3 linked regions of the Daphnia pulex genome follow. The protein of the gene in region 1 interacts with the protein of each later gene in a biochemical or structural test. Links are inferred from orthologs where the notes say so. Each region holds a gene or a part of one and is shown in the gene's direction. Other genes may lie near its edges. The genes, in order: zinc finger protein GLI2-like, serine/threonine-protein kinase fused-like and suppressor of fused homolog.

Region 1 (7,785 bases):
GGGGTATAATTGCAGGCTTCTTCTGGCTGGCTATAGCACTTTCGGAGTCATCGATATTCATTGCGGCTTGATTGGATTTGATGTGAGAAAGTTCTAAATACTTGACTCACGCGCTCACGCAGCCCACCTATACAACGTCACGACATTGCGCATCCTTTCCCGTCTCGAATTTTCCAAATGGATTTGATTTGTTGTGGAAAAATCGTGGAGGAGATAGTATAGTTCTGAATAAATAAATAAAAAAGATCTTTGAGACATGTGTGTGTGCGCGCCGGAGGCTTGAAAAATCGTGAATGTCTTACCGACGACTTGTGCCCAATTCAATTACAGCCACCGCGATATCGAAAATGCACAGCGCGCGGACGGACGGATGGACGGACCTTATCATTTTTTCCCGTCTCCCTTCCATTTCGATATCCCCATAGCGGAAGGGGGCGGCCGCATAGTATAGACACGACGATGACGCACGAAAATCAATCGTGTGTGCATTGACGATGTATTTCTATATTAAACATGTAACATTCTATCGAGTATAGATACGTATAGACGCTGCGTAGAGACGTATAACACGCGTCTCGGAGAGAGAGTCTTCTTTCCGTGTGTTGTGGGTTATTGGCTTTCGATTTTCCGTTGGAGCCAACGAAAAATGATGAGACTCAAACATTTAACGTAAGAAAAAAACAACCCCCCGAAAAATGTGTTCACGAACCGATGGGAAATCGTGCAGTGATCGACTGGAGGCCAAAAATCAATCCATCAATTTTGCCTTTTCTGTTTTCCTTCGTTTTGATTTTTCTTCTTTCTTTTTAATATTTTGTTTCTTTGTATTTATTATTTTTTAAAGGATAAAAAAAAGATGAAATAAAATGAGGAGCCGATTCTTTTCTTTCTTCTTTTCAAACTAAAAAATTCTATCGAATACAATCGAAAGAAAAATAGAGTCGGGAGAGAGACAAGAGGAGAGATACAAGAGAACAAGACAATAGGGCCGGTAATGTGGAATCTTTTGAGCCGATCTCTTCTCGGCGCTGGGTGTTACTGTGGGCATCAACCTGCTATATAGCAGCAGACAAGTCCACACGGCTACACATATTATATAGCGTGTGTGTGGGGGTCTGAACGCGCGCGAGCCGCCCGCCCGCCCCGCTTCTTTCTCTTGTGTGCGGTTGTTTATACGCGCCGTGAAGGTGGGCCGCAGCGGCGCATCTCTATCTTATTGAACACACACGATAGAAAGAAAAAGAGACTCGTAGATATTTTTTTTATTCATTCGCCCAGCAGAGAAGAGAGAAAAAAAAGTGCTGCGTGAAAATAGAATCGCTTTTCTTTTTTCTTTTTTTTCTGCTGACGTAATGTTTATGTATGAACTTGCTGGTGTCTTGACAGTAGGGAAAAAAATGAATTTCCATTTTCTTCTTCTTGGATTTTTCCTTTTTTTCTTTAAAAAACCCGGGAGTCTCTAATGATCCGAGTCATGGCTGCATTCAAATGGCTCTCTGATTGTTGTGGGTGTGTTGCATATCTTTGGGTCGGTAGAGAACCACACACACACGCACACACACACACACATTGTTGTGTGTGTCAAATGTTGTTGGGTGTTTAGTTGAAACCGGCGGTTCAGTTTTCTTTTGCTGACAATTCGGGATCTTGGTCTGAACGCAGGGGAGTTGTGAGATATCAAAAAGCTGCCCGCGGTACAAACAAACCTTTTTGACACGCATTGGCAACAGCGTGCAAGCCAGAAGAAGAAGAAGAAGCCGGAGCTTATTATTATTATTATTATTATGGTCTTTTGGTGTCATCTTATCTTGGCCTTCTCTTTCTTTCTCTCTCTTTTATTTTTTGTTTTGTTTTTGGTTGAATGGAAAAGAACAACATTTTCTATCGTTTTAATCGGACACACATATTTACACATACGAGCAGCAGCAGCAGCGGCAGCAGCAGCCGGTGCCAACCAGCTCCGGCGCCATAGGAAACCGCGCCCGTTTGCTGTGTCTGTTTGCTGTCTGCGCGCATTAGAGACCGTTGTGTAGTGATTATTATATGCGAAATGCAATCGAGTCATTATTATTGCAGCAGCAGTGGCGACGGTTTCACTTAACAGACAGACCAGCCAACTCGGCGGTAATCAAATCCCGTCGTCGTCCTCTACTATAGTCGTCGTCGTCGTCGCTGCGTTCGGAATTCACGCCCCTCTCTCCTAATGTGCCAAGGTTTTTTTCTTCCCCGTATCGCTGCGCCAGTTGCTATCCTGATGACGTGATCCGCCATTTAGGAAAATAGCTGATGGCTCAACAGCAGCAGCAGCAGCAGCCCTCAAAGAGATGAGAGAAAGAAACAAGCTGCTGACACATCAAACAAGAACTCGATCGCCGCCTTACTCATCGCTGCTGCTGCTGCTGCAACCAAACAACTCGTCCCCGCCAGTCCCTCCGCCTCTTTGGCGTTTAAGGACAAACTGTCCCGCCGTTCATTTTCCCAAAAAATAAAAGGAAATGATTTTCTCCCCCAAAGATCTTCTAAAGTGAGAAAAGGGATTTTTCATTATCTTAAATGACATTAAGGCTGCCGTCATTCATTCGGATAAGGAGGCAACCAATGAGGGGAGGAGGCGTCCGTTTATATTTGTTTCTCCTCGGGAGAAAAGAAAAGAAGGAAACAAATGAGGATGCCCGACAAGAAAAAGGTGGAAGAATATCAGTCGAGGAATCGGGAGAATCAAGACGTCCTTAAGATAACCGGTCGACGAGTCGATGACTCTCGTCCCCAGCGCCGCCAAACACCCCAAAAAGGCTCTTCCATCAGGTCCGCGTCCGCGGGAGAAGGCCAGTCTCACCAAGCAACCAGAAAAGAAAAAAGGAATTTAACCAAAAAGACAATCAAGCCAAAAACTATGGTAAAATATAGAAACATCAAATAAATGTTAAAAGAAAAAAAAGGAAATTAAGTGTCGAGGAATTTTGTTTTGTTTTTTTAATTCGAGAAATGATGGTGAATGGAAAAGTGGCAACGCTGGGCGCCACTAACCATTTTCTGGTTTTTCGTGTATAATTCTTATTTTTTTTGTTGGTGTTATCGTCCAGCACGACTCTAGCTGCCGGGTGCTGCTGCCGCCGCCGCCGCTGCTGCTGTTGGACGCTATACGGGCAACCGTTTTCACGAAAGACACAACAACAAACCTTCCTCCCCAGTCGGGCCGAGTTGAAGGCAGTGGCGTGATTCTTTCTACGTTCGCTCTTGCGCGTTTTCCCATTCAGTTTTTCACCGTCGCCATTTCTCCCCGCCCAAAAAAGATCAGATTATTTTTGATTGTGCGCACAGTTTGTGTCGTTTTTTTTTCCCCATCTCGCGCAAGTTCCGCAGATCGTGTCGACCCCGAGACGCGACCGAGAACCCGACCTCAACTCGAGAAAGAAGAGACTCTCTCTCTCGTCGTTTTCTATTTTGTTTTTACTTCTTGTTTCCTTTTTTTTTCGATTTGACATCCGTCTCGACGATTTCTCGTGTCTCGTCTGTCGCCTCTCGTCTCTTTTTATTCGTGTTCTTTGCCCTTTTACGCCGATTCGTTTAATAGTAGCCAGAAAAATATATCAATTGCGTGTGTCGTATATTACAAAGTGTCGAGCCAATTCGTGTCCACCAGTGCCACAAGCCTCTCCCGACGATCGACCGAGATTCGATCGGGCGTCAAAAGACTTTTCTTCTTTTCCTTTTTTAATTATTTCACATATTACACATTCGAGCTCCCGTGAAACAAAAGTGTCTACCTTATCGCATTACCGCCGGCAATGGGAGCCACAACGTGACGTAATCTAATCGCTCCGTAGCCTAGATTTCAGCTCATTAGACACGGCAGCAGCGCAGAATCTGATTGGATTCATTCAATCTTTTTTTAATATTTTTCCATTTTTAATCGAGTCGTGATTCTCCTCCCGGCTTGAATAGTTGGCGCTAAAGTGCCGGGCCCAGCCATCGAGTGTTTAGTGAACTTGAGCCAACGGTACGACATTATCGTATAGTTTAAAAAAGACGTGTGTAGTATACGGTGGATTACAACAGTCTGAAGAGATACCATCAACGGCATTCTGGGCGGTAAGTTGATCCGTCAACAACGAAGGATAATTTCTTTTACTGTAAGGTTGTGTGTGTGTGCCTGCCAACAACACCTGTAGACGTAATCTGCCGGGCAAATTGATTAGACACAGCGACACTTAATATATCGGCTTTAGTCCATTCAATTGATGGTAAATAACTTCAAGAAAAAAGAAAAATTGAATAGGCGTCGGATATATAGTTGTCTCATCATTTATCCTTACAGCAGTTCCATTTTCTCTCTATTTCGACCTGTCCACGCTCGCACAGTCAATTATCTAATGGGTCTTTTTTTTCTTCACCTGTTGGAAGACGCACCTGTAAAAAAAAACGACCGCTGTCGTTCTAATACACTTTCGTTTTGTACTGCTACATATTATATAGTTTTTTTGGGGGGGGGACTGTGCGGTCGTAACGCTGACCACACGCTCGGTATAAGTCCCGTCACACCTCCACAAGAAAAAAAGAATAAATTCCCAAAAAAACCACGAAGAAACAAAATGCTTCCAACTAAGTGACAAAAGGCCACACCGCAGTAGTTTCCGGCTTGCGGTGATGACACAATCGCTTTCCACACTCGGTAGTTTTGTTCCGATTGCTGGTCAACAGCGCTGGCCGTGTTCCGGCATTCACGTTATAGGGGACTTCCCTCCTTCCTAATTGCTAAGAACCACCTCAAAATTGTTTGTCTTTTAAATATCCATGGCCTATTTATTTTTTTAAATTAACTTGTATACAAATTCAAAAGAGAATGTAATACTCTTTATTATTCATCGAGACCCACAAGCGGTAAAATAATGTCGGATACACTCCCCAGCACTTGATTTTAATAGTCGAGAAATAAAAACTAGGAAGACGTAGTAAGTTGGTCAATTGTTTCTTTTTTATACTTTAGGAAAAGTGTCCTGCACCTTTCAATGTCTCGTATAGATTCCCAGACGAAACCGCAATTTTCTTATAGCAGTGACGAAAGCTTTCCGTTGTTGTACATTCGGTATACTCTCCTTTTGGGTTGTTTCTTCTTCCGTTTTTACGACCGGAGGAAAAACTGGCTGCTGCCGCCGCAGTAGCCAACGTCGCACCTACTCTACATCTACTTAGATATGCGCACAATCTTTATATAAAATTCCTCGACCAATTTACGACACTCTATATAGTATAGTACGGGGGCCACTTCATTTTTTCGCTTCCATCCACTTTCTTCTTAATGCTTTTCGGATTAATTCCGATTCCGGAACAAAAAGACATTTGAAGAAGATAAAATGAAATCCAAATGGATTTTTTTGGTGAGAGTGTGTATAAGTGACACGATGTGCTCCGCCCTTATTTTTTACCTTTTATCTTCTTCTTCTTTAATTCTCCTGACCCGCCAGAGGAGAGATCAATCGGCCGTTTTTGTATACCTCTGCTAAGGGGGTGGAAGGGGGGGAGTTCATTTATCAAAAAGTGGGAGACTTCCCTTTCCGTTGACTTGACCCCATGCGGAATTCCCTCCATCCGCCAAATACACACAGCGGATTAAAAGTTTAAAAAAAGGAAAAAAAGGGTTTTTTTTTTTGGTTTTCTGAGGGTAAAAATGCAAAGTAGTGGACGACACTCAAAAGTACTTATAATAATAATACACGGGCGGTATAGGCCAGCGGGTAAATGTGTACTTTTAACCCAATTTTATTTTACTTTGACTATACTTTAGTGTTGACCGAAGTGAAATAAATAAACTTAAGTATTTTAATGTAGTTGGTGTTACGCGTAAATTTCATTGAAATCGGCTACTTATTTAATAAATTTGAAAAGAACACACCGAATTTCACATTCGTCGTCTGTGATTGGCAGTTGCCACTTCCCATCCCACTCCATTGTTTTTCACCCACCCACGTTGTCAAAGATCACTTAATGACTTTAATTAATTAAAGTATTTTATAATTGACTCGCAATCTTGAAATTATAGCCATTAAATTAAAAACATTTTATTAAAAAAAATATTTGTACACACGTATTCAATTATTCATCTTCGAGAAAAATTAAATTTAGCAATTTAGAAATTGCAACACAGCTCAGATTCGGGAATCTCTTTGTCAGTTATTCTTCAATGGAGTCATGGAGCAGGTTGTACATTTTCGCGGTTTTTTATTCAGGTGTTATGGACCATATTGGAAATTTTTAACCAAATGAGTAAGTTCTTTATTTAGGATCTATTGTAGTTCATAGATAATAAGTGTTTAAGCATTATTTTGTCCACTTTTGGTTAAGCAAACGTTCACTTCATTTGACATTTTGAACCAACAAGAATGGTGTAAGAATAAGTAAGAATAAAGTGAAGTAGAGTCAAAGTGAAAGTTGAAATTGAATTGGTATAGAGGGGTAGTTAATGTACAAGTGGCCAGTGAATTAAATTCCAATTCGTCGAGTCCAAGACTCGAGTGAGCGAGAAAATTGAAGCCCGGCTTCTTGTCAGGTCAAAGATCAGCCCAGCAGGAGGGTTTTTCATTTTTTGGGGAAACACATATGCTGTTGACTTGGGAGGGACACAGCAGACGGACGATATATATTTAGTGTTTATTCCTTCTTCTTCCGGCATAAGTATGGGCTTTAGAAAATAGCATCAGGACTGCAGATTTCCGTTTTGCTCGACACATTTCGCTTCGCTGATTTCAAATGAAAAATTCAAAGTGAAGGACTTTTGACGGTTCTCCAAATCTCTTCATCACATCCGGCCACACACACTTAAAAATGTTAAATAGTAAAATGTCTAAAAACAAAAAAAATCACACTTTGAAAATGTGTCCGGTATTATTTGTGGCGACCATATAAAATGTCCACCACCCATCAAAAAGAAAAAAAGGTGAAAAATGTTTTTTAAAAAATAAAAAAAAAAGCGTTGCGAGTCTATTAAGAAAAAGAACCGTGAAGGCACTTAATGCCTTCATGATAAGATCAACATTTTAGAAGGAGCTCAGCTTATCGACACTTTACACATTTTCATTTCTTTTTGGAAAAGGTTAGCAGCAGCTCTCTGAGCCGGGCAAATCTCTCCACTGGCAACTTCAATAAGTCATAAGATTCCAGAGGTTATTTCAAATACATCTTTCGATGCAATTGGTTGTATTATGTTACGGCTGCGTAAAATGGCGCGCGATTCGCTGTGGTAGTTCGTACGTTCCACTTTCGTGAAAAATGGTTGAACATCACGTCTCGACCGCTCATTCTTTCTTTCTTTTTTTAAAAATCTTTTCTTCTGTATGCGCAGGTATATATCGCTCTCTCGGTCTGCTGCCGCAACAGCAACAACAGGGCAGCCACTCACGCAGGTCCTCCTCATCGCCTTTGGAGATTCACGGCGTGAGAGAATAGATGGAAAAAGGAGGCGGATATCATCGTCATGCCGACATTAGCAACTGCAGCCACGGCACAAACGTCTTGATTTCACCATCAAGTCATTGAAACCACCGTCGAGTTTCCTACCACCCCGCGCAATTGTTGGACCAATTTTTCCTTTTGGGTTTCCCGACCGATTTTATTCTCCCGCATCCATGGATCCCAATTCGGGTAAGTCCCATCTTGGACTGTTTTGTGTTGTTATTGGATCAAACGGCGCGGTCTGTTTGAGTTGTATTTAAATAGAGTCGACGTCAGCCAGTGTCTGAGAAACAGGAAAAAGAAAAGAAAAATGACTTTCTTTTTCTGGCTGCACTT
Region 2 (7,817 bases), on another chromosome or scaffold:
TAGTGGATACAGGTGAATAAATAATCAAGTTTCTAACAAGACAGGTAAACAATAATAATGTACTATCTTGAAGACCATTTACCACAAATAACAAACATATAGCTGACTAATATTTTCAAATAAACAAACCCTCGGTGTTGTTTAAGCTGTCAACAAGCTTAAGTGTAAACCTCAAAAATAAATTTCATCATAGTGGACAGTAATTATACGATAATGAACATATTTAGCTGGTCGTAACTCACGTGACTCAACGATAAAAAAAATTTCCTAGAAAGTCTGTTGATGGATGAGGAATCAACTAAGCCATCTGGCTCATGTAAACCAGCACACATTTTTTACTCACGATCTAACACGTTACGTGATTGAACACGTGAACTGCTGTTGAACTTGAACTGCCCACTTGATTATGAGATATGAGGTGGTCGAAAATAGCGACATTCCTTGTCTATACATTTTTCCGATTAATTTGACTTATAGAACAAAACAGCAAACCATTGAAACTTGGAGCAAATCAGCAAACCGCAAAGTGCAAACCATGCTGCATTCCAACAAATTCCGCAGCCAAGGCAACGTCTCATCGGCCATATTTGGCCGAAGTTTGTTTACATCGTCATTTAGTTGTAACCAACATTTTCTATTTTTAATTTCAAAATTTCAAATTAAAAATCAAAGACATGTTTCAAAAAAATCTAAAAATCATGTTTTTGATTTTTAATTTAAATTTTACTTGTTAAAAATTACAACAAATTTTGGTCAAATATGGTCGATTCAACGTTGCCTTGACTGCGGTACTCGTTGGTTTGCTCTAATCCGGCCATCTAATGTTGATTATTTCTCCATCATATCGAGACAAATTAAATCAACAACCTGGTGGCTTGCTGTCTGGGGCTGAGGGCAGAGGCCTAGAACCCATGAATCGCTTGAGAGATCCCATTTTCTCCATGAAGGATTCCTTGCGAGGCGTGGAGGGTGTCATCGGCGGCGGCTTAAAAAAGTAAAAAGGCCCAATTAGTATTATAACCTTATTGACAGATATAGAAATGTAAATGATACTTGATTTTGAGAACTCGATCCTCCGCTTTTCCTGCCCAGCAGAGGAGTCGTAAAAACATTTAAGCGCGATGTCTAAGGAACAAAATTGTTGTCAAGCAAAACAACATTGTTTTTGACGTAAAAAGCAACAACTTACCGAAAAATCTTTTCGGCTCAATAATGGGGTAGAAAATGGGCCTTTCTTTCCTTTGTTACGTGGTGGGGGTAGTGGTGGAGGAATTGAAGAATCGGCATTTTTGGGTGGCAGTGGTGGTCTAACTGTCGGGACTATACAATCCAGCGCCTGTGAAAAGACGAATTCTTTCGTTATCTATAACATTGAGGGTATTTTTCAAAATATGGAAGTACTTTTCTAGAATGATTCATTCTTTTAGGGTGTCGATGATACATGTCATCGCAGGATAAGCAAAATATTTGGTTGAGACATTTCTCACACCGAACTTTTGGACTTGAGGATCCACAAAGTTCACAGTGACGTCCATCGCCTTTTCTCGGCTCCATTTTTCCACCTACAACGTGTTGGAAAATACCAAAGTGGATGATTAATAGCTTTTCGTTTGAGCTAACCATTTTGTGCATACAAAAATAAAAATAAATTGTACCAAATCGAATTGAGAACGTAGCTTTATGCCCAGTCCCGTATTCTATGTCTTCGTATTCGTCCTCCAAGGGCGGTGGTTGGGTTGTGGGTAATGGAGGTGGTTCAGCAGATGCAGCGTCGTTGGTAGCAGATGCAGATTTATTTTCGGAACTAGCCGGCGTAATTTGCTAAATAATTCCCACAGCATAGAAACAAAATTAATTTCAAAAAATTAACCAACACCAACTTCCCCCATAAAAACTGACACAAAATTGATTGCAAAGAATTGGTTTAGTTGTTTCGCATCGCAATCAAAAGTATAACTGATGCTGGTGGTCTGAAGTAGTAAATAATAGCGTTGACGTACCCTCATTTCATTTGACACTCACAGGAGACATGGGATAGATTCGACACGAGATAGCCAATTGCGGAAACGGATAAAACGATCCCCACACTCAAAAATCGACTGAAAAATCGTATATAAACTCCCGGAGAGATGGAAAAGGCGGACCGCACGCCGCACTGTGCGATGATGATGTCCGTTCGCCCCGCCGGAATAGACACCAAAGAGCAAAGCAGTGCGACAAACAGGATAGGAATGGGCCGCTGGAATTGTCGGCAATCTGCCAGCGATTCACACGGCACCCCCTGACAAAAAGCAAAATCCCAAAAATATCGTCGAGCTCGTCCTGCTGGTCGTATCTTCCCTGTACCGGGGCAGTTCTCCCCCGTGAGACACCGCCAGCGCGTCAGTGAGAATCAATCTAGACATGCATGAATAGATTTGGCCTTCATTGGAAGGCATTCGGAAGGTGTAGCCAACGGGATTTTAATGGTAAATAACATCATGTAAACACCCGTGCAAACAAAAAAAAAAAAGTTTTATCAACTGAGGTGTACTATAATAGCTAGTAATCGTTCAGTAGATTACAGTAAACTATCAGAAAATATGAAACAAAATAAATAAAGTTTTTACTAGATTAACGTATCGTAAATAATAACAAGTTTGTTTTTTTGCCTGAGCATGCAACTATTTCAATTGCCTAGAGTTGAATGAACTGAATACTTCCTTGTCAATTTACCGAATCAAAAACCCATCCGAGTTCTCGAGATGTAGTTTCGCAGGAACAAAATCAACACTCGCGCTTATTGTGTGTGCCGTGTTTGAATGCAGCTGGCCTTTCTCTCAGACGTCACGGATTTAAACTTTATATATTCCTCTGGAAGAAAGTCAAAAATAGCTTGGCATTCAAGGTTTCCAACTCTGACTGCCGGCGCGTCATTGCCACGGTTATAGGAAGCCACCTCCGTCGTCAGAGACTATTCTGCTACCAAATATTTATCAACAACGATATCCAAATCATTAGCTACACCTCATTTGTCCATGCAAAGCATTTCAAAAGTTTAATCTTGATTAAATACCTACCGGAATTATTCATCTTCTATATTTAATTCTTTGTTTACTCTTATCTTTACACTCTTGTAGCTAAATAAAATATGTTTTTTAAAAAAATAGGGAATCGATAGATTTGTACCATCTCGGTGATGGGAATAACGTAAATTTTCAACACATTCATTTCCGGTTGTTTTACCGGTCTTTGTTGTGTGTTTTTTTTTTTTTTTTTTTTTTAAATTCTCTTCACGCCCATATATCTTCCACCTTCGTAGGGCGTGTAGCATACCGCGTGCGTACTGTCTCTTTTACTGCTTTTCGCGGCTTTTGCACTTTTTGGTCCAGTGCACAGCGCACTGGCTTGTTTAGTTATTTATACTCTTATGGAATTTTCTTATAAATATATCATTGTTATCCCTGTGTTATATGTTCACCACTTCGTCAGATTTAATCATGTCTATCTGGCTCGGGAATCATTTTCATCACCTTGCCAGTTGGCCTTATTCGAAAATACAGCGCCATCTCTGATCCAGATATTTACATGGGAATATTGTTAGTCTAAGCTTCGCTAGATGGCTTCTTTTGTTTATAGACAATTCATTTCTGATTAAAATCCAAGAATCGTAATGATCACTACAATTATATCCATTTCTTAACAGCGGTAAAAGAAGTGACACTGCTTTATTGTGGTTTCTTAACATTCAAATTATCTAATAAATCCGAGTTGAAAGTGCGTTGAAATGGAAGACTATGAGGTATTAGAAAAAATTGGAGAAGGATCTTTTGGAAGAGTTTACAAAGCAAGACATAGACACTTGAGAGGTTTGGTTGCTCTCAAGTTTATTCCAAAAGTAAGTGTTATAAATAAATTCCTTTCCATTTCATTGTAACAAATTCTATACTTTGCGTTTGTAGATTGGTAGGACAGAATGTGAGCTGCAAAGCTTGAGACACGAGTTTGAAATCCAGAAAGGCTTGCGTCACCCAAACATTGTTCACATGCTTGGTGCCTTTGAGACATTTAAAGAGGTAATCAAGAAATTTCACAATTTATTTGTTGTAGTTTTGTGTGTTGATTATTAACGATTTATTTCTCCATCCAGCTAGTTGTTGTCACTGAGTATGTTGAAAGTGACTTGTACAAACTACTGGAAGATGGGACACTCTGTGAAGACAAAATGCGAATGGTTGCTTGCCAGTTGCTATCTGCTCTCTACTACCTTCATTCAGACAGGATATTACACCGTGACATCAAACCTCAGAATATACTGCTGACAAGTGATGGCATCATTAAACTTTGCGATTTTGGATTTGCAAGATCCATGGACCTCAACACTTATGTGCTAACATCTGTCAAAGGAACTCCATTGTACATGGCCCCAGAAATCATAGAGGAAAAGCCATACGATCATAATGCAGATTTATGGTACATTTTTTATTGCAGATATTGTCTCTTCAAAGATTTGTTGATTTACCCTTCATTTTTACAACAGGTCCTTAGGTTGCATTTTGTATGAGCTCCTTTTTGGATCGCCACCCTTTTGCACCACATCTTTATTGCAACTAATACGAAAAATTCGTTACGAAACCGTGCCTTGGCCCACAAATCTGAGCCCAGATTGTTTCAACCTCCTTCAAGGTCTCTTGGAGAAAGATCCTCGCCGCAGGCTAACTTGGCCTCACTTGCTCGAGCATCCTTTCCTGGAGAACAAAGTTCTGCTCCCACCTGAAAGACGTATGTTCAATACAATGTTCCTTTTCTGGTAAAGGTAACAAATTTCACTGATTCCCTCTTTACCTTCTCTCTAGTGAGACCTCAGCTTCCCTTAACGACTGCCTTGACGGCTTCGCAGGAACTGGCCAAAGAGATTCAAAGACAAGATCTCTCCCAAAAGATGCCGTTCAAAAACAAGTGAACATTGTCGTGCTGATTATTTTATCCAATCCTTTAACTGAAATTTATTGGTTGTTCTTTTACAAGGGTTTTCACGCGAGCCCTTCAGAGATTAGAAGAGTACGAACGACGCCGAAATAGCGCTCCAGTTTCTCAGCCCAAACAATTGCTGGCCCATCCCGCCGCCGCCTTCCACAGCACCCAATACAATCCGTACGTCACTTTAAACAGAATTTCTAAAAGTCGCGTTTTTTTTTAAATTTAAAACTTTATCATTTTGGTCGAATAGTGCATTTGGAGACTGGACGCGTCGCCAAAGTGCAGCCGTCGACACCCACCGTTTACCGCCTGCCATCGATCCACGGATCAGTGAGAGGCAGCAATTGCTGGAAAGAATTTTAGAAACGACCAGATGGCCGACCAAACAAAATGTGGCCGATTTCGATCCCCTCGATCCTGGCACCAACGCTCATCATTTCTCCCTCATTCAGCCAGCCGTGCCCAACCCGCCAAACAACCAGCCGACTGTCGAAGAAACTGTTTCACCTTCCATCGAGCCCAAAACGGAGGTAAAAATCGATGTGCAGTCCTATCATAGAAGAAAGGATTGACCAAATGATGATTGATTCATTCTAGGCCAAGGAAACGACAACTGGCGAAGTTGCGGCCGCCGCAACCGCCGCCGCCGGTTCGTTGCTGTCGAAATCTCTGGAAAACGACGAATGGGAAGAGTTTCTTGACGGAACGCTGGCCGACGCCATAGAGAATCCGCAGACGCTGGAGCAGAGGGATCTCGTCGCCGTTGTGGTGGCTCCGTTACGCAACGTCAACGCCAGCCCGAGCCTAGTCGAACGTATAGCGACTCTGCTGGCCCTGCCTTGGGCTGGAATCGACCGCGAGGAATCAGTCGACGAAGAATTAATCGTCCGCGCCTACGCAGACACCCGCGTCGTGCCCAATCTCTTGTACGCTTGCAAAGTAATGGTTCAGAGAAGATCTGGCGATAACCGTAGCACCGGGTAACTCCTCTTTTTGTTTATTTGTCACAGTCTAAATTCCATTTCTCATTCTCCCATGTGATTTCATTTCGTTTTCTATTTTTCTTTTTTTTTTGGGTTGTGCCCAAAAACAGGAGCATCGACAGTAAAAAGACGGACGCCGAATTGACGGCCGACGATCTGCAGTCCTTAGAAATGCTGCTGGGTTTGATGGCCCGTCTGGTGCACCTGAGTACGACCGCAGGTAATCACTCATCGCGAGCTCTTGTGTAACTGGAAACGAAAGTGGGGGTGGCTAATCATTATTTTAATTTTCTATTCCTTCCCTTTTTTTCCCCCCGATTGAATTCACAACAGAATTCATCAATCAATTCTGCGATGCTGTTTGCGTGCTGGATTGCGCGGCCGCCATTCATCACCTGTTGTCTGTCGATCGTCGCAAAGCCCATGCAGTCGGCCACGTTCTGGCCATCCTGTCGCACGTCCTGCGCACTCGAGCCGAGAACGTTAGCGTCGTCCAAGATATTCTCACTCAAAGAGGTATTACATTTCACACAATTGCCTTGAAAAATAAGAAAATGAACGGCTAATCTCACCATCTCTTTCTACCCTTGTGCGACATGACAGACACAAATTTGGTGCGTTTGTTGTCGAATCGAAACCCCATGATTAGGTCCAGGTGTTGTACGCTCATAGGATACCTGTCTCTCAGGTAAGAGAAAAAGAAAAAAAGAAATACAATAAAAATACAACAGCTTTTTCCCATGACGTCAGCTGCAGCAAACAGCGTGAATGATGTTCCTATTCTCTTGTTTTCTTTCTCGCCTCGTTTCGCCCAGGGGCACTGACAAGCTCAAGGAATTGAGCAGACAGCCTGTCGTCGTCGAGCGCGTGGAGCAATTGCTAGCAGATAGCGATCCTCGGGTCAGGCAGGTCTGTACCCCCAAGTTTGGGATATCCAACATCTTTTCTTTCGAAGGCCTAGCCTATAGCCGATTCTTTTTCGCTTATCTTTTTCTCTGATTTAACCCCTTCTCTTTTTTCTCTCTCTCTCTCCCCGACAGAGTGCCACATTCGCCTATCGTTTGCTGAGCGGCCATAAAACCCGGGCCGGAAACTGAATGGACGAGCACTATGCAAAGTGGGCCAACCGCCGATAGAAAAACTCGCGAAAAAGAATCTTATAAAGAAAAATAGCCAAAACCAACTTATTTTCACCGTCCCAACTCCATGACGGATGGCCACATTTTGCTAAGCTTTTTCCATTCTGCCTCCAATCGGAAGAGGGGCGACAACACAACAATCGTAAAAGGCTCATTACATGACAACGCCGGATTTTTCGGTTGACTAAACAATGAACCACCTCCGTTTTCACTCCTCCCAAATAGCAAATCCTGTTTTATTTTACTTTGGTCTATCTTTCGATCTATTATCGTCAGTGCCATTTCTATTGCTTGACATTTCCCATTACCGTTTGATCTCGTGAAATATATCTGATCTTTTGAATCGCACTCGCCCAGCAGCATAATAATAATTGAAAAAAACAAAAACCGGACGCGCGCACGCAGAAAGATCCAAACAGGTACTATAGATATTATCAAAAATGGAGACTGCAGGAAGACCATCCTTGAATAAAATGAAGAAGAAGGAAAAAAACGACGTGATTGAATTTACGGCAAGTGAATGGGGCGCGCTCGTATATACAGGAGAACGAGAGAGAGAGAGAGAGATCACCCACAATTGTGCTCAAGGCTATTTGGAAATGTTCATTCATGAAAATAAAATAGGAGACTCTCTCGGGCCGATCAAAAAAGAGAGAGAAAGAGATGGTATATTGCACAACTTGCGCTCGGGTCTGTGGCGGGCGATGGATGACAGACTCCGGCCGTGTGTATGCAC
Region 3 (7,528 bases), on another chromosome or scaffold:
ACGAAGTAGACTCCGGCAGCGATTAAAAATACCAGACGCCATTGACCAAGTGTTTGCTATGCACAAGAAAAGCAGTTGTGAATTAATAAGAAAAAATTGCGAAGCATTTGCGAACAGTGAAGCTCGAAAATTTCCCCGTTGCCGTAACCAGGAGTTGTAGAAATTGGATTAGTGCGCTTTAAAGGTATGAAAGGTCTTAAAAATAATCAAAACTCACGTTTCCTTTAACTAGCACACCCACAGCATAAGGAGCCATAAATCCACAGAGATTGGCCACTGCATTGGTAACACCAAACAAAGTTCCGGCGTAAGGTGGTGCAATTTCGACAAAGTTCACCTGATTTTTTCATAATGAAAGGGGTTTAATGAGTTGAATTATTTCTGAATTATTTGTTTTAGAATGTACTTGAAAAGCAGAATAAGAAGCACCACTAAGTCCCACTGCCAAAGTAAGTAAAATTACGGCAGCTACAGTATCACATCCAATAAATCCAGCACCAATTAAAGCCAACGCGGGTCCGTATTGGCCTTTTATAATTGCAAAATTTGAAATTAATCTCGCAACTAAACTTGAACATCTCGTTTTTAAAAATAGTTACCAATAGAATTAAATATCTTCCGTACAGTAATAACTCTAAATATTTGTTTGGAAATGAGAATATCTGCGACTGTGCTGCAAAGGAGCGAGAAAAGCCACATCGCCAAGTAGGGAAGAGCGGACACGAAACTATTCTGTAAAATTCATTCAAATATCAAACGGATTAAGTGACTTTTTCACTTGGCCTTGTTTCAAATTTTATTTGTACCTGTTTCATGTTAAAATGTAAAATATTATCCATGTAACTCGGTAGTTCAGTCAACAGCGTGTAAAATCCCCAGGCGTGACCAACATTGGCCGCCCCTACAGCCCAGCAGGCTTTTGATCTAAACATGCATCGCCACGGTACGGGAGCACTTTTCTATATTAAGGAACAAAAATCAACCAGTCGACTTTTGATTAAAACTAATAAAGAATTACCCTTTTAATGGAGTCTTTCAAAGAACTGCAAATGTAATCTTTCTCCTCTTTGGATATTTTGAGATGTCGAGATGGAGAATCAGCAGTGAGGGGCATCCAAACGGCGAACCAGACGATACCCAAAGTCCCGAATACGTAAAACACTGTTGGCCAGCCGCCGTCGAATCCGTGCTCGCAAAGAATTCCCGAAAGAGGCAGTGTTATTACAGTCCCAAATTGTGCGCCTAGAAATTAGAATATAAACTTTAAAGAATTTCACGATGAACATTATACAAAATCCAACGTACCTGTGAAAACGAAAGCGGCCATTTTACTTCTCTCCCACGGTGGAGCCCATTCGGCAAGCATTGCGTACATCGCCGGGAACGTCACACCCTTAATGGATGTTGAAACAGTCAATTATTCGCTAGATTTAAGGATTTATTCGGCATGCGGAGGGCACCATGTCTGTTTCCCAGTGTGGCGCACTAGCAGCGCCTTTTTATAATAATATCGTAATACCTCTCCCAATCCCATCAAGACTCGACAGAAGATCAGCAAAGTGTCGCTTGCTCGAGCGGCGAACGGCGTCAACAAAGTGAAAAGTGAAGTACTGAGGATGCCATAACCAAGTAATTTTCGGCCGCCAAAAAGCTCCGCCAACCTCCCACCAGGGATCTGCGTTAAAACGTAGCCCCAGAAGAAGGAACCCAGGATGATTCCTTGTTTATATTCATCCCAGGCAAACTCTCCGTCCTTTTTAAAAAGAAAAGAAAAAATGTTGAAGATCATTAGTTTCGCATGGGATTATGTTTGACGGGGAATGACAAATAGACGGGCTTAAGCTGTGCACCAGACTGCAGACACGCGGCCATTTGCTCCAGACCATTTTCGTGCCTATATACAAAAAGCCAAGACTCGTGACAGGATTAACTCTCAGAGAGAACGAGGGAGATAGAATACGAGAGACAGGAAAAGGATGAACAAAGTCTAGCGAAAGCTTCCAATCCATCATCTCAGAAGAAAAGACCCAGGGGCATCGCGTACAAGGGGCCGAGTAGGGTGACTAGTCTTAGATCCCCTAGTGACTTTGCAATTATGTTTGACATTTTTTTTAGAGTCATTTACCTTTACTATTCCGGATTGGCTCTCTCCTGGAGTCTCTGGGCAGATATCCACCGCGGTTTGATTGATGTGTGGGATAGCGCTCTGATTGACCATCGCTACGATCGTCACGGACAAATTCACTCTCATGGCATAGACATTGGCAAATCCCAAGAATCCTAGCAAGACTAGGGTATGTCTAGTCCCCCAGCATCCTGTTAGTAATAGAAAAATGTATTTCTTTTGTAATATTTTCTATCTAGGAATGCAAGAAGTTTGAAAAGTATTAAAACACTCGTAAAACAACTCCTAGAAACATTGTCTGTGGTTAACAAAGCAGTCACTTGAAGTTTCCTTTGTAGATAAGGAAACCAACATGCAGGACAACATAACCCTGCACATGCGGGTAAAGGATGCTCCTATATCGACAGTTTTATACCTTGGTCTTCGTCATCGTGGGGAACGAGTCGCAACTTTTCATTTACTGTTTCATTTTCGTCTACTTCGTGTTGTTCTGTTACTGGGATACTAGTTTGCTGCACCATTATTCACAAATTGCACTAATAAAGGAGGGTTGGTAATGTTAAACTTTTAAAAGAAATGAGCCATTGGTGTGATTGTGCAAGGAGAGAACGGGAGTAGGTTTTGTGTGCGTGTGGGTGGTATTTTTTGTATAGTTGGAATGTAAATAAAAATATTAGCAGACCGATCGATGACACGTCGCAATAGCCTGTGGCTCTACTCCTAGATGTCTCTTATTGATTGAATGATGAAAAATAAATTTCACTTAGCTAAAAAGTCAGTATAATTTGTATAGTAAATAATACTATAGAATTTATTTATCCCTAAAAATGAAAATAAGGCTGCCCTGATAGTCTTCTTTATTTCAATTTTAATTTCACTAAAAAGATAAAAATCAACGATGACATTAGTAACTAGTGCTGCCAAATCAACTGGTGGCGAAGCATTGTTACAAAAATTCCTCTGCTATACACAATTGTTTGGAAATGGAGTGAAGTTTTGGTTTAGTTGATTGACATTTATTGTTATTTATTAGTAGATTGTGATAATAAAAGACACAACAATGCAGAAAGCACAAATGCATGTCGTCGCAAACACGTGTGCAACGGGAAATGTGGCGAGTGTTGCCAGCAACTTTGGTCCCGAATCTGGTCCCAATGACGGTCAACAATTGATGCTTTCTTCTTCAGCATTGGGATTGGAAATATTGTATGAATCATGTAAACAAGTGTACCCTCTTCAACCAAATCCATTGCAAGTGACAGCGTTCATCAAATATTGGTGAGTACTCGATACCTTGCTGATGTCCGATCAACACTTGGGAGTGTGCCCAATTGCTGCGAATACTTACCCTGATTATGAATTACAGGCTTGGTGGTCCAGATCCTCTAGACTATATAAGCATGTATGATCATCCTGGAATCCCAGAACTTCACATCCCTCCACATTGGCATTATATCAGGTATACATTGACACTTAAATTGTTACCAAGCACGACTTGATTATTTCGTTTCACATCAGTTTTGGCCTGACAGACTTGCACGGTGATGGCAGAGTTCACGAGCCTTCAGGACCAGAGTTTCCCAGTGGTTTTGGTTTTGAGCTGACTTTCCGCCTAGCCAAAAAGTCTGGTGAAGCCACACCACCCACATGGCCAGCAGCTCTGTTACAGGCCCTTGCCAAGTATGTTTTCCACACTGGTAACTCTTTCTTCGCTGGTGACCACGTCTCCTGGCATTGTCCTCTGGACGGATCGGATTTTGAATGTCGCTTGCAACACATGCTCCTGGCGGAGGATCTTTTGTTACCGCCAGTCCAAGGGCCATTAGGTTCCGTCAAGTTTCTGCAAGTCGTCGCCGTTACGGAGGAAGAGTTGCAAGTTTCCCAGCACTGGAATGGAACTAGCGTGTTGGAACTTTTGCGACGAGTTCCCTCGTAATATCCCCCGCTTCACAATAACTCTAGAGAATAGCCAACAAAAAAAGTTGTATTGATTTGCCCATTTTTACACAGTGCCGGAGGCCCTTGGCTTGTTGCCGACATGCAGCGTCAGTTATCGCTGTTTGAATTGCAGCCCTCCTTCCGCCGCGAAGTCGAACATGGTAAGGAGAAAAAGTTGCGCCGCTCCTCACAGGAGCCGTTTGTAAAAGTTTATTTATAGAGAGAGAATCCGATGTATATTCTGCTTCCATGTTTTTAGGGATCGATCGTGACGGATGCTCGTTGTCGGGCGTCAGCGCTCGCTGCCACTGGGAGGAGAGAAAAGTCACTTCGAAAACTGGTTCGGCTTGGAGGAGTCCGGAAGCTGAGGACGACTCTAGTAGTCAGGATGACGAAGAAGATGAACCGGAAGCTGGAGCGACCCTCGGGCGTCATCGACCGGCCGACGGTGAACCAACCATCAACGGCGAAATCTGGCCCATTCGACGACTCTACAAGGGTGTCCATTTGACGCTCAACTTGGAAGCTGCTTCCCTCCTGCCCGTCGTTCTTCGGTAACCCTACCAGTTGATTTCCATTGTCAGTCTTTCCTTATTTTCTAAATTGTTTATTATTAGGGGACGACTTCGACACGATCGGCATTTTACCTTCAAAGCAGTGGCCGGCGAAACGGCGGTGACGCTCCTGACGGGCAGAGTGGGAGGTGCATTGGCTTCACCGTCAGCTCCTCTCGTAGCCAAAGGTCCTTGGCTTCAGATCCTCGTCGATTCCGAGTGGTTAGCCAAACTAGAATCTGATTTGGCTTGCCTCCAGCAGCCCGATGGGGTGATTATATTTCTTTTTGATGAAATTCATCTCGAATGCATTGCCAATTTTGTGTGTGTAATAATCAAAACAATTTTTTTTTACTCTCTCCCCTATTTTATAAAAAGGTGGTGGTTCCCAAAACGTTTTGCTGGTTCGACCGACAGATGGCGTTGACGGTAGTTCCCGATGAATTATGACGACTGTATAAAAAAAAAGTCTTGTCTTTCTCAACTTTTTTTTCTTCTTTTATTTTTTTTCATGTTGTTTTCCTTCTTTTTCCCACCCCTTTTCTTTATCTATTCTTTTTCTTTTTTTACAATTGTAAACTGTAACCACGTGCCTTTATTATTATTCCTCGTGCTCGCGCGTGGGATGGAACCTGACCTGCGTGAATCTCCTTTTCTCTGGAAAAAAACAAAACGAAATATCTCGGGCGGATGTTGACGGAAGCTGCGTGTTTGCTGCAATTATAATGACGTTGAAAACTTGCCAAAAATGCGTTTTTCCAATCTTGTCTATTTATAGAAAAAGGCACACACACACACGAGGTGTCGAATCTGTGTGTTCATTTCGTCTACACTCTTTTTCTATTTCTTTCTTAAAAGCCTTTGGCTGTCGTGCAAAAAAGGACTGGGCAGCAGCCGAATCCTTGAAAAAGTTCTCCTCTCCCAGCACAGCCTTTTAGTCGTTGGACGCTTTTTTTGGATACACGGCCGCTCACGCAGGGAAAAGCGACCGGAGGTGGCGGCGGCCGGGTCCTCTCAAGCGTAATTAAAAGCGCAGTGGTCATCTCTTTTTTTTTTTAATTCTTTTTTTTGACGCAGAGTATATTTTGTTAGTTTTCATCTTTTGGCCTTCGGGAGGGGAAAATGAGCAGCGTGATGCAACAACAATTTCTTTTCAAAACTCATTGTTGTTTGCATTTAGCAGCTGAGCTAAAAGGGAATTTTGTGTTTTTTTTTCACGAAGGCCAAAAAGTCGGATGAGGGTAGAAAGAAGAAGAAGAGAAAAAAGGTTCACGGCATCGATCGGACTGGCGGGCCAGTCTCCCTGGACCCTGCGCCGATGATGAAGGAAGAGAAAAAAAAGAAGAGGAGGGGGAGTTGATTCTCACACACGTACAGACGAACGAACCCTGGTGCTCTTAACGCAGACGGGGAGGGGGAGAGCCTATCAAGAACGAAAAGAAGGAAGAAGAAGAAGAAGAAGGAAAAGAAGAAGAAGAAGAAGAAGAAAAAAGAGCGGATGCTGAGAGAAAAAGAAAGAAGGGAGGGGGGAGAGAACATGGCCGACTCCCGGCAGGAGGGCGGCCACCTCCTCCCGTTGGGGTGGAAAGAAAGTGGGAGGTTGGGGCGGGCGGCACGCGGGGGCCCCTCCGACCTTTTTTTTCTTCTTCTACGCGTTCAGACTTTAAGAGTCAACAATGAACTTGATTCTCACCCAATCATCTCGTAAGAAAAGAAGAATTTCCTTATTTAAAATAAAAGAAAAAAGTTGTTTTATGTTTTTCGCATTTTTTAATCCCGCGGGAAAATGTTGGACATACCATCAAAAAAGGGAAAATTGGGTTGTGTGTCGTGAGAGAAAAAAACATGTCGCTCATCTCTTATAAAGACGCACATATACACGCACTTGACGGGTGGAAAAAAAGAAAAACAAGACGACGCCATTTCGTTTTTTTTGAAAATAGATGCGTGTAGAGTCGGTCGGTCCTCCTCCTCCCTTTTGGCCAGCAGCAGCAGGACATCCTTATTTTCATCTGGTCGTTCCTCCATCCACTTGTTTTTACCGTCGATTCTCTCATTCTCGCCGTTTTCCGACGTAGTACACGTCTCTCCGGGTCGGCCAGACTTAACCTTGGGAGAACACACAACCGCGTTATAGACGAAACGCAAGACTTTTAAGAAGAAGAAGAAGGTGTCTTGTTGCCATTGTAAATTTAGACGACCAACTGGTGAGCAACTTTTTCGTTGGCTGACTTTAAGATTAATTTAGCGACAACTGGAAATGTACTCGGCAGGTGTCCACCACATTTCTTAGGTCATCTTTTATTGAAAATGATAACCCAAAAACAGATCTGACATGATAAAAAAAAATTAAAAACAAAAACAAAACTAAACATGTGTGTGTTAATCGTGTTTTGGCTTCCCCATTCTGGAATTTTTTTGTTTCATTTATTTTTCAATTCTTTTTTATTCCAAAACATTTTTTTATTTCATTTCTTTTTGTGAGCGATATCTATCGATAGTTAACAGACGACGATTTTTTTTTCAGCCCCTCCTCCCCCCCCCCCTAAAGAAGGAGGTTCTTTTTTCACACACTAGACTTTTGCTGAGTAGTGCCGCTAGAGGAGCTTCAGTCTAGTTGAAGCTTTCCGTGCGGTGAGGTCGCGGCCGTCGCCTACTCCCAAACTATTTTTACGATTGGCGCCAAACGTTATTTTTATTTTTCCACACACACACAACAACAACCAGCGCAGTGAGAGCGTGTGTGCCAGTGAAACCCTTGAAAAATTATTTTTTATTTTTCAAATTCTTCTGGTTACAAGAAACGTGTTTTTGTGTGTGGATGCAGGTGCACCCGACATGCTGGTGTGTGTACCATGTGCGTGAGTGTCAAGTGAAATCGGGCACGTGCTTACCTCTCTCGGATTTTGAG

What was found.
Region 2: the proteins of zinc finger protein GLI2-like (region 1) and serine/threonine-protein kinase fused-like form a complex in vitro, tested with the Drosophila melanogaster proteins (2 studies listed by BioGRID, with this or other methods). The link is inferred for Daphnia pulex from reciprocal best matches to the Drosophila melanogaster genes ci and fu.
Region 3: the proteins of zinc finger protein GLI2-like (region 1) and suppressor of fused homolog form a complex in vitro, tested with the Drosophila melanogaster proteins (2 studies listed by BioGRID). The link is inferred for Daphnia pulex from reciprocal best matches to the Drosophila melanogaster genes ci and Su(fu).

Annotation. Positions count from the first base shown.
Region 1 is NC_060017.1:6,836,466-6,844,250, forward strand, and holds the start of zinc finger protein GLI2-like, read left to right. Parts: upstream 1-3,085; 5' UTR 3,086-4,092; intron 4,093-6,169; exon of another isoform or gene 6,170-6,264; intron 6,265-7,339; 5' UTR 7,340-7,622; coding exon 7,623-7,638; intron 7,639-7,785. UniProt on the Drosophila melanogaster protein: Has a dual function as a transcriptional activator and a repressor of the hedgehog (Hh) pathway. The full-length ci form (ciFL), acts as an activator (ciA) while ciR, its C-terminally truncated form, acts as a repressor. Involved in segment polarity.
Region 2 is NC_060025.1:6,990,668-6,998,484, reverse strand, and holds serine/threonine-protein kinase fused-like, read left to right. Parts: upstream 1-3,246; 5' UTR 3,247-3,766; coding exon 3,767-3,877; intron 3,878-3,941; coding exon 3,942-4,055; intron 4,056-4,129; coding exon 4,130-4,452; intron 4,453-4,519; coding exon 4,520-4,761; intron 4,762-4,835; coding exon 4,836-4,938; intron 4,939-5,007; coding exon 5,008-5,133; intron 5,134-5,209; coding exon 5,210-5,489; intron 5,490-5,556; coding exon 5,557-5,939; intron 5,940-6,052; coding exon 6,053-6,162; intron 6,163-6,275; coding exon 6,276-6,458; intron 6,459-6,545; coding exon 6,546-6,630; intron 6,631-6,757; coding exon 6,758-6,851; intron 6,852-6,982; coding exon 6,983-7,039; 3' UTR 7,040-7,429; downstream 7,430-7,817. Other genes in the region: E3 ubiquitin-protein ligase lubel-like, read right to left, coding at 868-985, 1,054-1,125, 1,190-1,336, 1,402-1,562, 1,656-1,821, 2,001-2,006. UniProt on the Drosophila melanogaster protein: Probable serine/threonine-protein kinase; maternally required for correct patterning in the posterior part of each embryonic metamere. May be involved in control of cell division during metamorphosis and ovarian development. May interact with costal-2.
Region 3 is NC_060019.1:8,215,722-8,223,249, forward strand, and holds suppressor of fused homolog, read left to right. Parts: upstream 1-3,037; 5' UTR 3,038-3,185; coding exon 3,186-3,403; intron 3,404-3,491; coding exon 3,492-3,584; intron 3,585-3,643; coding exon 3,644-4,057; intron 4,058-4,135; coding exon 4,136-4,224; intron 4,225-4,322; coding exon 4,323-4,617; intron 4,618-4,680; coding exon 4,681-4,888; intron 4,889-4,995; coding exon 4,996-5,067; 3' UTR 5,068-5,358; downstream 5,359-7,528. Other genes in the region: putative inorganic phosphate cotransporter, read right to left, coding at 214-337, 407-528, 600-732, 807-959, 1,019-1,242, 1,306-1,393, 1,520-1,753, 2,126-2,316 and 1 more.